3 linked regions of the Yarrowia lipolytica genome follow. The protein of the gene in region 3 binds, or shares a complex with, the protein of the main gene of each other region. Links are inferred from orthologs where the notes say so. Each region holds a gene or a part of one and is shown on either strand. Other genes may lie near its edges.

Region 1 (4,039 bases), on a different chromosome or scaffold from region 3:
AATTGTCCCCCCTCTTTAATTCATACATCCATTGCCTTTAACAACTCTCTAGAGATCTCGCTCCGACTCGATAGTAGTTTGCACTGTAGCACATCTGTGAAACTCTAAGTTGGCAACCCTAACTACTAAATTACCCGGTAGAAGGTACATAAAAATCTGTGCTGTCTTGATCTGACTTTCTTCACTCCACACTTTTTGGAGCGGAAAACGACGGAATCTCCGAGTAATAAAGTGACACGGAGGTTAGCTGGCGCTACCTGAAGTGTCATCTCGTTAATCGGTCTTTTTGTCGGTTTCCAAGGTGTCTTTCTCTTCGACTGAAAGACACCACCCTTTCTCAAATGGTACGTTTTTGATGATGTTGGAGGCCACGAACGCGTTCGGAAGATGATGCAAAGTAGGGTGAGAAGGCATTTCCCTTCCCTGATTAATCCCAATCCTCTAAGAAGCACTGACGTTTGCTTTGTTTGTGGCATCTTTTACATGTCTCGACTTCTCTTACTAACTTCAGGTATGTTCCACTGTGTTTGCAACACCTTTAAGGATGAAAAACTTCTGTCAATCCCCTGAACTGGATTCCGCAATCAAGAAAATAGGTTTCCAGGATATGACGATTCGTGTCGCCTGATTTTAAACATGGCATCTCTTGTCTTTGTTGTTCCCTACTAACCTTAGCTATAGTAATCTATCCCTTAACTACTTTCTGTGAATGTGTGTGTCTTAAAGCTATTGCTGTCTTATGAGTGTAAGCAGTTGTATCGTATGAACCAGTATCCAGTACAAGTATCGTCTCTGGCGTGTATGATTTTATTACAGGTCCAATACATACATCTTCCCATAGATCGAGAGCTCCAAAGGTAGATTCCATCGACACCTTGGAGGTTGCATTCTACTTGTAGTACGTATATATCAGCTACCCTTTTTCGTTTGCAAGTACAGTTTTTAAGTCTCTACACAACCAAACATCATCTACTCTACAGCCAGCGTCCAAACACCATCTATCAATCTATACCTCGCGTTCTACCCTGTCATAACTACACCCGCTTGATATCCCACTTAACATCAGTGACGGACACCTCCTCACTGTTCTTCTCGTCGTAGTCAAACCACTCGCCCTCGGATAGATCCATCTCCTTGAAAGGTGTGCCAGACTCGCCCTTGCACTGGAAGTCACCGTCGGCTCGGAACTCCTTGAGCTCGAGACCTCGACAGTCGATCTGCAGAATCTCGGCGGGCTTCTTATCGTCGGCGTTGAGAGTTTTGCCTGTCTCGGTGAGGGTGGCAGACGACTCTCGCTTGCAGAAGCGGCACTTGAAGACGAAGTTGGCGTCTCCTCGACTGCCGCTGATGTCGCTCTTGTCCTGGGCGTTCATGGTGACCCAGTTTTCGTGGACCTCATGGCACGAATTGCACTCAATTTTGAAGGAGAACTCGTAGGGTAGCGTGGGTCCCAACTCTGTGACTCCCTGGAGCTCTGCGGAAAGAAATAGACCGAACATCGTGTCCTTCTAGTTGGTGTTGATGATCTAGATGTCGAAAGCGCACCCAAAAGTTTATACGCGGAGGTGTGATGTGATTGAGTGTAAATAAGTGTATGACATACTGGCAGTAATGGAGGTGTCAGATTGGAAGAAACAGTAATGAAATGTTGTATCCAATCTGAGTCTCTATGTTAAAATCTCTTTCAGATCCACTTATTACCTATACAAATATCGTGTGTTGTTGCATGGCTCACTTAGTGCTCAGCTGACTATACAACGCTGACGAGGTACGATCGTTGTACTCGTTACATAATCATAAGACCACTGGACCGCTGTTATTCTCAATACACTATTTCTAAAAAACGGAATATTCTACACTATGTGTGATATGCCCAATACCACATCACACTCACATTTTCCCTCCTTCATTTTATACCACATTGTCGCATCGTTCTCCTCCTACCCTAACCTTGTGAAATTTCAACCGCCAAAAGTTTGCACTGCATACGCTGTCACGATATATCTCACCCGCCATACTCAAGATGATTCGGGCTTTTTCGACAAAAAGCACGGCGTGGAACGCCGCCAAGGAGGCTGTTGCAGAGACCTCCGGCAAGAAGGCCGGACGTCTGACTGCCGAGACCCGGGCCAACATTTCCGGAGGCATGATTCTGTCTCGAATCCCCATCGTCACCTCCGAGCCCACTCCCTTTGCCAAGCAGTACTACGAGTACATGGATGGTCTCAAGCGCCGAATGATGTGGACCTTCCCCTCGTTTCTTTACTTCAAGCGAGGTACTCTTGCTGAGCGAAAGTACAGAGAGCTGAACAAGATCCCCACCCAGGCCCGAGACGGAGTAGTGTACCCCGAGGGTATTCCCGATGTGGTGAATCACCGAGAGCGAACAATGCCCCAGAAGATCGCCGTGCCCACCAAGGACAATGAGGGCTCTCGAGGCGCCAAGAAGGGCACCGAGGAGGGCGAGGAGGATGTGATCAAGCCCAACTCCCGAATCACTGAGGCCGACAAGCAGAACGACGTCAAGTCACTGGAGCGAAAGCTGGACCGAACCCTGTACCTACTGGCCCAGACCAAGAACGGCTGGCGATTCCCCTCGGTCGTTATCAACGAGAAGGAGACCATCGATGAGGCCGCCAAGCGAGGCATCCACGAGCTCGGAGGCCCCGACATGAACATCTGGAACGTGTCGCACACCCCCGCGGGCTTCTTCAAGAACGGCGACAAGCGAGAGTTCTACGTCAAGTCACACATTGTCCAGGGCGAGTTCAAGCCCAGCCGGGACGTGCAGGACTTTGCGTGGCTCACCAAGGAGGAGATCCAGGCTAAGGTCGACGACCAGTACTACCAGCAGCTGCATCCTCTTCTCAACTCGGTTTAAACTGCATCTGTCGACCGACCAACTGAGACCGCACACGAGGAAAAGACTAATGTATATATGTGTATATAGGGGGATGATGATTGAGTGATTGAATGAGTGTACGAGTACTTGTAGTGTATGTTGGTACATTATGACTGTAACATATACCGTAGCTAGCTGTGGTGTTTTAGTGAATGCAATCCGGTTCTAATATTATACTACATACACTTGTACTTGTACCTATACTTGTACTTGTACTGGTTTTATATTCTGTGCTGCAGACGAGGGTGTGGGAAATCCAGTGACTGTCGCACGCTCCGATAGCTAATCAGTATCTGTCAGTATGAGGGCTCGCTGGTTGCTCCGGTGTCATCCTCTCTTTCAAATCTGGCTTTAATGACTAGAGGATTCTTGTCGCACATGCCAGCCCGATTTCGGCATCTAGTAACCACTCGGCCTATTACCTCCTACAGTAATCACATTCAGACCCGCAACGTCCCCAGAAAATGCCAGGTTGTACTTCACCGGGCTCCATGCCACCACTGGGAGCCCTGTCCATCTCGGACGAGAAACAGCATGCACAAATTTTCCAGTGTCCACATGTACAATGTCCACAGGGATATCGTTGTTGTCATACCCGACGGCAATGTAGTCTCCATCATGCGAAAAATCGAGAGAAACGACCGGTTGGTCGTGCTTGGACAGTGTCTTGACACATACCAACTCTTTGGTATCCCACAACGAAACAATGCCTTCATTGCCACCCACAGCAATATAACGGCCTTGAGGATCAGGTTTGACACAGTTCGCGGCTGTTGTGTGTCCTAGAAGCTCAAACAGAGTGGTCACATTAGACGTGCTTAATGATTGGGAAGAAGTAACCACCTTTTCGACCTCTTCAGAAGTAGCAGCAGTCTGGAGATTCAGCTTGAGCAGCTTCACCACACCAATTCCCATTGTAATGGCCATGACAGCAGTTGTGTTTGTCCAAGTTGCCGCGAAAATTTCGTAGGGAGATTCCTTGTATGCAGCAATGGGGTTTCCAAACGCTTCCATTGCACCAATGGCGATCTTGGGTGCCCCTCGCGATCTTTGCGAGTCCTTTCCTCCATTCTGACGTCCTCCGATGTTTGTGCTGGGTGCTGGTTCAGCCACTTCTCCGTTGAAAGAAGGCGCGTA
Region 2 (3,639 bases), on a different chromosome or scaffold from region 3:
CTGATCAACGACGCCAACGAGCCCGTGGGTAACCGACTCAACGGAGTCGTTGCCAAGGAGGTGCGAGAGCGAGGCTTCACCAAGGTCGCTTCTCTGGCTCCCCGAGTCTTGTAATCTGTGCTTACCGTACCCGTACCGTAACCATGGCTTGTATATAGTATTTAAATGTTTGGTATTCACAAGCTGTAGTGTGGGATGGGTAGCTTGGAAACAAGGAGTGGTTGTAGTGCGAGTACAAGTAAGCCCAAGAAAGTAATTTATCGATGATTATAGATAATGAATGAATGTTGTCACAGATGTAGTTACAGCACTCGTACGAATACTTGTACCGTATGTACTTGTTCTGTGGGGATAGAGCTTGCCTCCATACTTCATCACTATCTTACTTCGTCACTATTGTACTCCATCATAGATTCAGCCATCCAGAAATAACATGTCAAAGTGCTATTTCGAGATAAGGAGCAACTCTTGTTTGTATCAACTTGAGGTTCCGTTCTAGAAGACGGTGTTTGATCAAGTAGAGAATCTCATAGCTATCGTCGTATGCCCTCAAAATGTCATCTCCACCCCATACCAACCAACGTCAGACCTCCTCCATTTTATGAGACAAAGTCTCACACGCCCTTCCCAATCCCCTGTGTTACAGCTCAACTTGGTCTCCGCCACCTATCCCTCCACCGCCTACGCCTCCACACAGATGCTCACGTCAAAACATAAATAATCCATTAACGAACCAATAATATACAACCCTCGAATAATCCCCTCTAAGACCGGAAAATGTTGTTGCAGTTGTTGCAGACAAAAAACAGAATCATGGTGGTCTCCGCACGCTTCTGTTGCGACTGGAAGAAGACCACATCGTGCTCGTGACACTTGGGACACTCCTTGTCGGATCGAGGCAGAGTGGGATCTGCTCCAATACCGGTTGTCACTCCGGCCGTCTCCTCAATGTTGGTGATCAGCTGATGCTTGAACACCAGAGGAGTGGATGCAAACTCCGTGTACGGACAGTTTCGGCATGCAAACAGCAGCTTTCTATCCTCCTTATCCTCTCTCGGATAGAGCATGTTGTTGCTGGGTTAGCGCTGGTCCTCGATCATTTCTCGTCCTCTCGTTATCTAGTTCTCTCTGATCACTCACCACTCGAGACAAAATCGCGACGTCATTTTGGTTCCGTCTTGTTCCACACACTGAGCTGTCGTCTGCTGTGTGTTTTTCAAAGCCCAGTGAAGATGGTGTTCTGCAGCTCTATGGCAAACTCTAAATGTGCGCACGAGTCTATTCTTCCCGTCTCTAATCCCCCTCCCTCTGACTACAAGTATAGTGATTGGGAGGTTTGGGACACCACAGTACAAGAGCAAGGCCGGGTAACCCTCCGTCACGCACCCTGAAAATTTGAAAACTCACCTACAGCAGCGTCTACACTGAGTCCATCTCAACCCCATACAACCGCACAATGTCTGCTCTTCGAATGTCTCTTCGAGTTGCTCGAGTCGCCCGTGTGGCTCGAGTTGGTGTTCGGTGAGTATTAATTGCGAGATTCACTCCTTGATTGTTTTTCTCGACATTGAAATCAAGCCAGATCACCAGCCAGATCATGTCATCAACTCACAAAAGCACTGATCTGAAGACGAAACGCTTCAAAAAAACCCACCCAGCTCCAACTAACACAGATTCAACTCCACCGCCGCCCCCGTGGACCCCAAGATCACCGCTATTGTCGACCAGATTGCCCAGCTCAACCTGCTGGAAACCTCGTCTCTGGTGACCGAGCTCAAGAGCCGACTCAACATTCCCGATATCTCTTTCCCCGCCGCCGGAGCCGCCCCCGCCGCTGCACCTGCCGCTGCTGCCGAGGAGGCCGCCCCCGAGCCCGTCGAGGAGAAGACCATCTTCAACATCAAGCTGGAGTCATACGATGCCAAGGCCAAGCCTAAGGTGATCAAGGAGATCAAGACCCTGCTCGGTCTGTCTCTGGTCGACGCCAAGAAGATTGTTGACGCCGCCCCCAAGATGGTCAAGGAGTCCGTCCCCAAGGAGGATGCCGACAAGATCAAAAAGGTGCTTGAGGATCTCGGCGCCAAGATTACTCTTGAGTAAGTGTATATAGTAACTCATTTTGAACCAGACAAAATACGAGTGCGAACCACGAGTATTGGATGCTCTTCTGGCTGGAGAACTGGAACGTAGTTGGAGTAGTAGTCGTTGTTGCCCTTATGGTACGGCTGTGATACGACAGAGTACTTTCAAGATGTAAAGCATGAAATACGACGAAGGAAATGTTTGCTTGACTGTTTAGATATGTTGACAATATCAATAGCCTTTCGGATAGTCAGATATCGGTACTGAAGCAGTGTGATTTCCTTGACCTAATCACTTACTCATATGTTACGTTGATGACATGATCTGAATGCCAATGGGCAACAGTTTCATATCTTCCAGCTGAAACATCTCAATTGCATCTACAACCGTCTATAATCACCAGGTGGTTGTACATTACTAATAAATTATTCTACATGTTGGTATGAACGCCGTCATTGGATAGCTACGGCTAGGCATACCAGAATCCCGTTTTTTTATCACCTCTTGATCTCGTTTTAAGCACCCACTACTCCTTCGTTAAAAGTCTGGGCTCATGCTCATGCTCTTCTGCCGTCTATTGTGGGCAGCAAGGCGTCTAGCGTAGCTAGGAGTTCCGAGTTCTGAGGGCGTGGCTGGAGTAACAGATCTCAACGACGACGACCGGGGCATCCGGGGAGTGGTCGGATGTTGTGGGGGGGGCTGCACGAATTGAGGAGCATACTGCTGTTGTTGAGACGGCGGTATCTGTTGTTGGGTGTAGGGACTCTGGTAGGGGCTGCTAGAGCTGTATCCCTGAGGACTAACAACACCAATGACACTTCTTCGGTTGGTTCTCTTGATGGCATGGATCTCTAGTTTCTTCTCGAGGATCTTGACGAAGGAGGAAAGAGCCACTAAATTGTTTGAGATGCCTTCTGAGAGGCCAGATTGGCCTGGTAAGTGGCACAGGGCAGTCATCTCCTCGTACATGGTATACAAGGACTCGTAGAGATCTGCATCCAAATTCTTCAATCGGTTCAGCGACATTTCAATGTCAATCATGTCCTCCGAGTGATCAAAGTTGGACATAGTGGACTGCCCAGTGTGTTGAGTTTGCAGAGGTTGTTGTATATGGGCTCTCTGATGCTCCATTTCCGACTCTATGGACTCGCACGATTCGCTGGACTCGTTTGATGCAAACGACGTGTCTCCATCTGCTCTGGAGACTCCCTCCTGTTCCGTTTCGGTGCCTGCCGAGTCTTCGGAGTTCTCATCATCTCCCTCCATCTCAGACTCCATGTTGAGACGTCTGATACGTTCTCTGAGAGCTCCTAACGCCGACCACGCCGAAGAGGGAGGCTCAATAGTCTCGGGCTCCAAATCACGCACGTCCCGCAACGTGGACGAGCGATGATGGCTCTTGTACGCTGGCTTACCACCTGCAGGGGACCCCGATCCAAGACCGCCCATGTATCCGTTGTTGAAGGCTGGAAATGAGTTGACGCTGGTCGAGTGGGTATGCGACGTGTGTGGACGACCTGCTGTCTGTGGTCTGTGCCCGTGAGATGTGTTTGGACG
Region 3 (4,615 bases):
TGGGTTTCCTCAAGCCGCTTCTCAGAGCTTTCCAGCTGCGATTGAGTCAATGAATAGTCTGTAAGTTTGGAGTTCAGTTGCTTGATCTGTTCATTGAGAGATGCCTCCTGAGCCGTAGAGTAGTCTCGTAGACTCACAAGAGCCGCTTCAAGCTGGGCGTTTCGTTGAATGGCAGCCTCATCAGCTGAGTCGATTCTCTCCGAAGGCACGTTGAGCTCTTGTCGCAGTTCCTCCATTTCTCGTTTGGCAATCTCCAGCTTTTCTTCTGCCATTTCTCTGTCAAGAGTAGCCATCTCCAAAGCGTCTTCGTGCTGTTCCAGCTTCACCTTGGCATGGGCATGTTCATTGGAAGTCTTGGTGAGATCGGCGCGTAGCTGCTTGACCTCGTCACTCAGGGGACGCAGTTTACTCTCCAGCTTGGCGACAATTGTCTCGAGTTTCTTTTTTTCACGCAAATCTGTCTGAAGTTGCTGAATTTGTTCTCGCTCAAGCTTTCTTTTGCTATCTGTGACACGTAGCTTGGCCTTGAGACTCTCCACCTGCTTGGCCAAAGCTGTAGACGAGTCTGAGACGTCTGACATGGCCGACTGGGGTCGTTGAGACGGTCTAGGCACCTCTGGAGGCGGCATGAGGTCTGCGTCTGTCTCCACTTGTGGTCGTCTCACAAACTTTCCCGATGTTCCTTTGCATTCAAAGTACCGAACTCCCTGGACGCTGCCGTCATTGTTTCCCTGTCCCTCAACCATTTCCACTCCAATCCACTCTCCCGTGGAGAACTGAGTGGGTCCGATGAATCGGACGTGCGCCGGCACTCCCTTGACCCGCACGCGATCTCCGACTTTCATGTGTGCAAGTATCGTACAGTAGCAGTGGTGCTCGTGATGTGTCGCAGTGTCGTGGAGGTAGATATTCGGACTGCATGCCGACGGTAAATGAAATATCCTAAATTTGTTAGTTAGTTAGTTAGCATAGTTAAGTACTTCTGGTAGCTATAACACCCTATAAAATAACGGCCCGACACGTGATTTTGGCGTACTAAATTCTATGTAGTTTTCTCGCCCATATCAACTTCCAAATCGACTCTTCAGGACCTCACTTTTGCTACTTGTAGATATGATTATTCTGCATTCGCCATCTATAAACAAATCCCATCCACCAACCTACATTACAATACATGTATGCGTAGACAATGCACAACGAGTTTAGGCTAAAACGCGTCTCGTTTATTCCCACAACCTATCACCACAGTACAAACACAACCCCCACAATCACCATAATGCAGTCGGCACGACGAAAACAGACGGCGTTCCCCTCTCGGGGCGTGGCTGCCACCAAGCGAGAATTATCTGCGGATCAACGACAAGAGATCCAGGAGGCCTTCGACCTGTTCGATGCCCATCAGAACCGAGCTCTGGACTTTCATACCCTCAGAGCAGCCATGCGAGCACTCGGCTTCGAGCTCAAGAAGGCTGAGGTGCTGCAGATTCTGGACGAGAACGACACGACACAGCAGGGCGTGATGACGTGGGAGGCGTTTGAGCAGGTTATGACACAGATGATTCTGGACCGAGACCCGCTGGAGGAGGTCAAGCGGGCCTTCCAGCTGTTTGACGAGGACAACACCGGTATTATCACTATCAAAAACCTGCGAAAGGTGGCCCGAGAACTCAACGAAAATATCGACGAGAGTGAACTGCAGGCCATGATTGAGGAGTTTGACCTTGACCAGGATGGAGGAAGTGAGTATGAGTGAAAGAGAGCTGATGGAGCATCACAAAGAAGAAGTCTACTAACACAGTCAATCTCGAGGAATTCATCGCCATTTGTACCGAAAACTAGCTTATTTAATCTAATGTATTTTTATCATCCACAGCTGGTGGAATTGTGTGGATGTACATGTGTTTAACGTATTAATTAAGTCTAATGCCATATACCGTATTTGAAGCATCCTTTATGTCTATTGCTGATCTTTATGATCGACCTACAAGTACTGTAGAAGTAGTTTGGTGGTATCCTTGGTTTTTGTCAGTCTTCTTACATAAGCAAACATGACAAGTCCCAGTGATATCTTCGGTGACATAAATAGAGTTTGGGAGAGGTAAAAAGTGCACGTGACGTCAAATTTTCGACGGCAACGATGACCACAAAATCAAGACTCCAGAGTGTATGAAAATCCGTAAATCAATGTGAAATAACCCGCTCTATATTTCCCACCTACTTCCTTTTTCTCAGCTCTCTCTGTGCGCCAATGAAATCGATCTGATGTTCATTTCTCTCGAACCCTCCCAACAGGGCAAGGGCCTGAAATTTTCATTTTCATCAGAACTCATACAAACCACCACCCTCACACAATGAGACCTACGCGGACGGTACTGAAATCGAGGTTCATCCACGACCCCAAGACCATCTACCCTCGGGTCCGTGTGGATCGGATCCAGCGGGCCACTCTCAAAAAGGCCCCCAAGTTCCAGCAGGTTCTGGCCAGCCATGCCGTTCCCGAGTGGGAGCGATTCACCAAGGAGAGCCAATGGCACTTTATGCCCGGCGACAAGGTCCAGATCCTGGCTGGCCCCGACAAGGGCAAGGTGTCTCAGATCATGGCTCGACACGAGGAGGGAAACTCTTACCTGGTTGATGGAGTCAACGGTACTCAGACCTTCCCAATTCCTCCTGCTATGGCCCAGGAAGGACAGACCACCCACGTGATCGAGTTCCCCAACCCTCTGAAGCAGTCGGAGCTGCGTCTGGTGGCCCAGCGACCTGAGGAGGACGGTACCACCACCGAGGTTGCTATTGCTGCCGTGGAGTGCGTGGGAACCTACTACGACCCTGCCTACAAGCGAGTGCTCCCCCGACGAGTCATGGCCCACGATCACAAGACCCAGGTGCCATGGCCCGCTCCTCTCGAGCCTGTCGAGCATGTGGAGGGCTCTACCGAGCGAGATGTGGCTCGAGAACGAACCCACTGGGTCACTTCTCTGGTCAAGCCTCCTTTCCCCATCGGAGCTCTGCCCGACATTCGAAACGTGCACCACAAGCGATTCAAGCGATTCTCCGAGCGAGAGGTCGATCTCCTCACAGCCCCCAAGCCCTTCATCCCCAAGGGCACCCCCGAGCTTTTCGCTCGACCCCAGCACAAGAAGCCTGAGAACAAGCTCACTGCTGAGATGGAGGCCTTCATTGGCAACGTCATGCAGAAGCACGCTGACGCCCAGGTGGGCCAGCATGACCGAGTCAAGGGCCTCAAGTATAAATAGTGTATATAGTAGCATGATAGCAATTTTCTGACTTGAAGAGCGTATGTAGGCCGTGAGTACGCTCTAGACCTGATGGCCTGACGTCGTCAAGTAACCTCGTTGTCGCGGACCGCGAGACCACGAAACCACGAAACCACGAGTTCTCCGGACCTATTTATCGTAATGAAATAGAGACATCTTGATCGTAGGCTTTTTTATGATCTCTGGACTACAAATCGCCCGCGGCCGTGTAGTCTAGTAAAGGAAGGATACTTGTATCGAAAAAGCGTACAGTAACAAGTTACTACTTGTAGTGGGTGCATAGTAGGTAAACCAGTCTAAAGTGTGTCTTCATAGGTGTCTCTTCGTCAACCCTTCGATGCACTCGAGAATGAAGTACAAGTAGTACAGAACTTGTAGAGTGATGAGCTCATGCACATGCCTTGTCTCGAGTATGAGGGTGTAAGCAGTGGTCTATCTGATAGTGGAGCAAGTAGAATGACTAAATTCTCAGATATCGTTTATCTCTAATCCATCTTACTAAATTCCAAGTCCGGCCAAATCTTCCTACTTTTTTCACGTACTTTTCATTATTGTATAGTAGTTACTCCTCAACTACCATCGGGAATTCCAACTATAAGAAGTGGACTACGACCACGCCCTCCAGACTCCATCCCTCACCTCTCAACTTCAAAACTGCTTATGTAAGAGGCTACCCAACAGCCCAGCAAAGAAATATGAGCTTAGACACTCATAAGTCTTCGTCTTGGACCTCTGTCTAACTCATTAGTAGTCAAAGCCTCTGTCTCAGAAACAATAACAGCCGTAGACTTGCTAACTACAGCACATTCTATATGAGTAACGTGCTTGTAACGTATTGGTAAATACTTGTAGAAAATGAACTACCGCCCAAACATGTTGTCCCCTCAGACTTTCACGTAATACGGTCTCGCGTCGCCCGGTCTGACCCTTACCTTCCCAGTCTGAAGTCAACCTCAAACTGCCCAATTTGCGAGTAGCTAATCTTGAACAGGGCGATCTACATCACCAGGTTGCCATAATATGTAATTCATATAGAATTCGCAACTGTCGAGCGAGTCTGAAGGTGGGCGGCTAAAATCATGGCTATGTTGCCAAGAGGTCTCACAAAACCAAAATTAACAAGTCCTGGCGTGCAACCACATTTGAATCTCTCTCTACTTGTAGGCTTGAAAACCATACAAGCGCTGCTTGCCGAAACCACCATCGCCACATAGTAGAGACAAACCCGTGGGCTGTTAAATTACCACCGCCTCGACACGTCGCGGTTGCGCTTGTAGCGCCCTTGACGTCTTACTCCTACAAGCACCTACGGTAATTACACGTCTCAATCCGTCTGT

The links.
Region 1: YALI1_A21565g (region 3) and YALI1_E29617g share a complex: the UniProt entries of both Saccharomyces cerevisiae proteins name them as parts of the mitochondrial large ribosomal subunit. The link is inferred for Yarrowia lipolytica from reciprocal best matches to the Saccharomyces cerevisiae genes MRPL40 and MRPL17.
Region 2: YALI1_A21565g (region 3) and YALI1_F23368g share a complex: the UniProt entries of both Saccharomyces cerevisiae proteins name them as parts of the mitochondrial large ribosomal subunit. The link is inferred for Yarrowia lipolytica from reciprocal best matches to the Saccharomyces cerevisiae genes MRPL40 and MNP1.

Annotation. Positions count from the first base shown.
Region 1 is NC_090774.1:2,959,658-2,963,696, forward strand, and holds YALI1_E29617g (mitochondrial 54S ribosomal protein mL46), read left to right. Parts: upstream 1-2,023; coding exon 2,024-2,881; downstream 2,882-4,039. Other genes in the region: YALI1_E29611g (uncharacterized protein), read right to left, coding at 1,035-1,499; YALI1_E29642g (uncharacterized protein), read right to left, coding at 3,302-4,039. UniProt on the Saccharomyces cerevisiae protein: Component of the mitochondrial ribosome (mitoribosome), a dedicated translation machinery responsible for the synthesis of mitochondrial genome-encoded proteins, including at least some of the essential transmembrane subunits of the mitochondrial respiratory chain.
Region 2 is NC_090775.1:2,335,399-2,339,037, forward strand, and holds YALI1_F23368g (mitochondrial 54S ribosomal protein bL12m), read left to right. Parts: upstream 1-1,456; coding exon 1,457-1,521; intron 1,522-1,673; coding exon 1,674-2,100; downstream 2,101-3,639. Other genes in the region: YALI1_F23351g (mitochondrial 54S ribosomal protein uL14m), read left to right, coding at 1-114; YALI1_F23364g (uncharacterized protein), read right to left, coding at 765-1,074, 1,141-1,166; YALI1_F23391g (uncharacterized protein), read right to left, coding at 2,620-3,639. UniProt on the Saccharomyces cerevisiae protein: Component of the mitochondrial ribosome (mitoribosome), a dedicated translation machinery responsible for the synthesis of mitochondrial genome-encoded proteins, including at least some of the essential transmembrane subunits of the mitochondrial respiratory chain.
Region 3 is NC_090770.1:2,154,153-2,158,767, forward strand, and holds YALI1_A21565g (mitochondrial 54S ribosomal protein uL24m), read left to right. Parts: upstream 1-2,351; coding exon 2,352-3,257; downstream 3,258-4,615. Other genes in the region: YALI1_A21550g (uncharacterized protein), read right to left, coding at 1-845; YALI1_A21554g (uncharacterized protein), read left to right, coding at 1,190-1,739, 1,799-1,839. UniProt on the Saccharomyces cerevisiae protein: Component of the mitochondrial ribosome (mitoribosome), a dedicated translation machinery responsible for the synthesis of mitochondrial genome-encoded proteins, including at least some of the essential transmembrane subunits of the mitochondrial respiratory chain.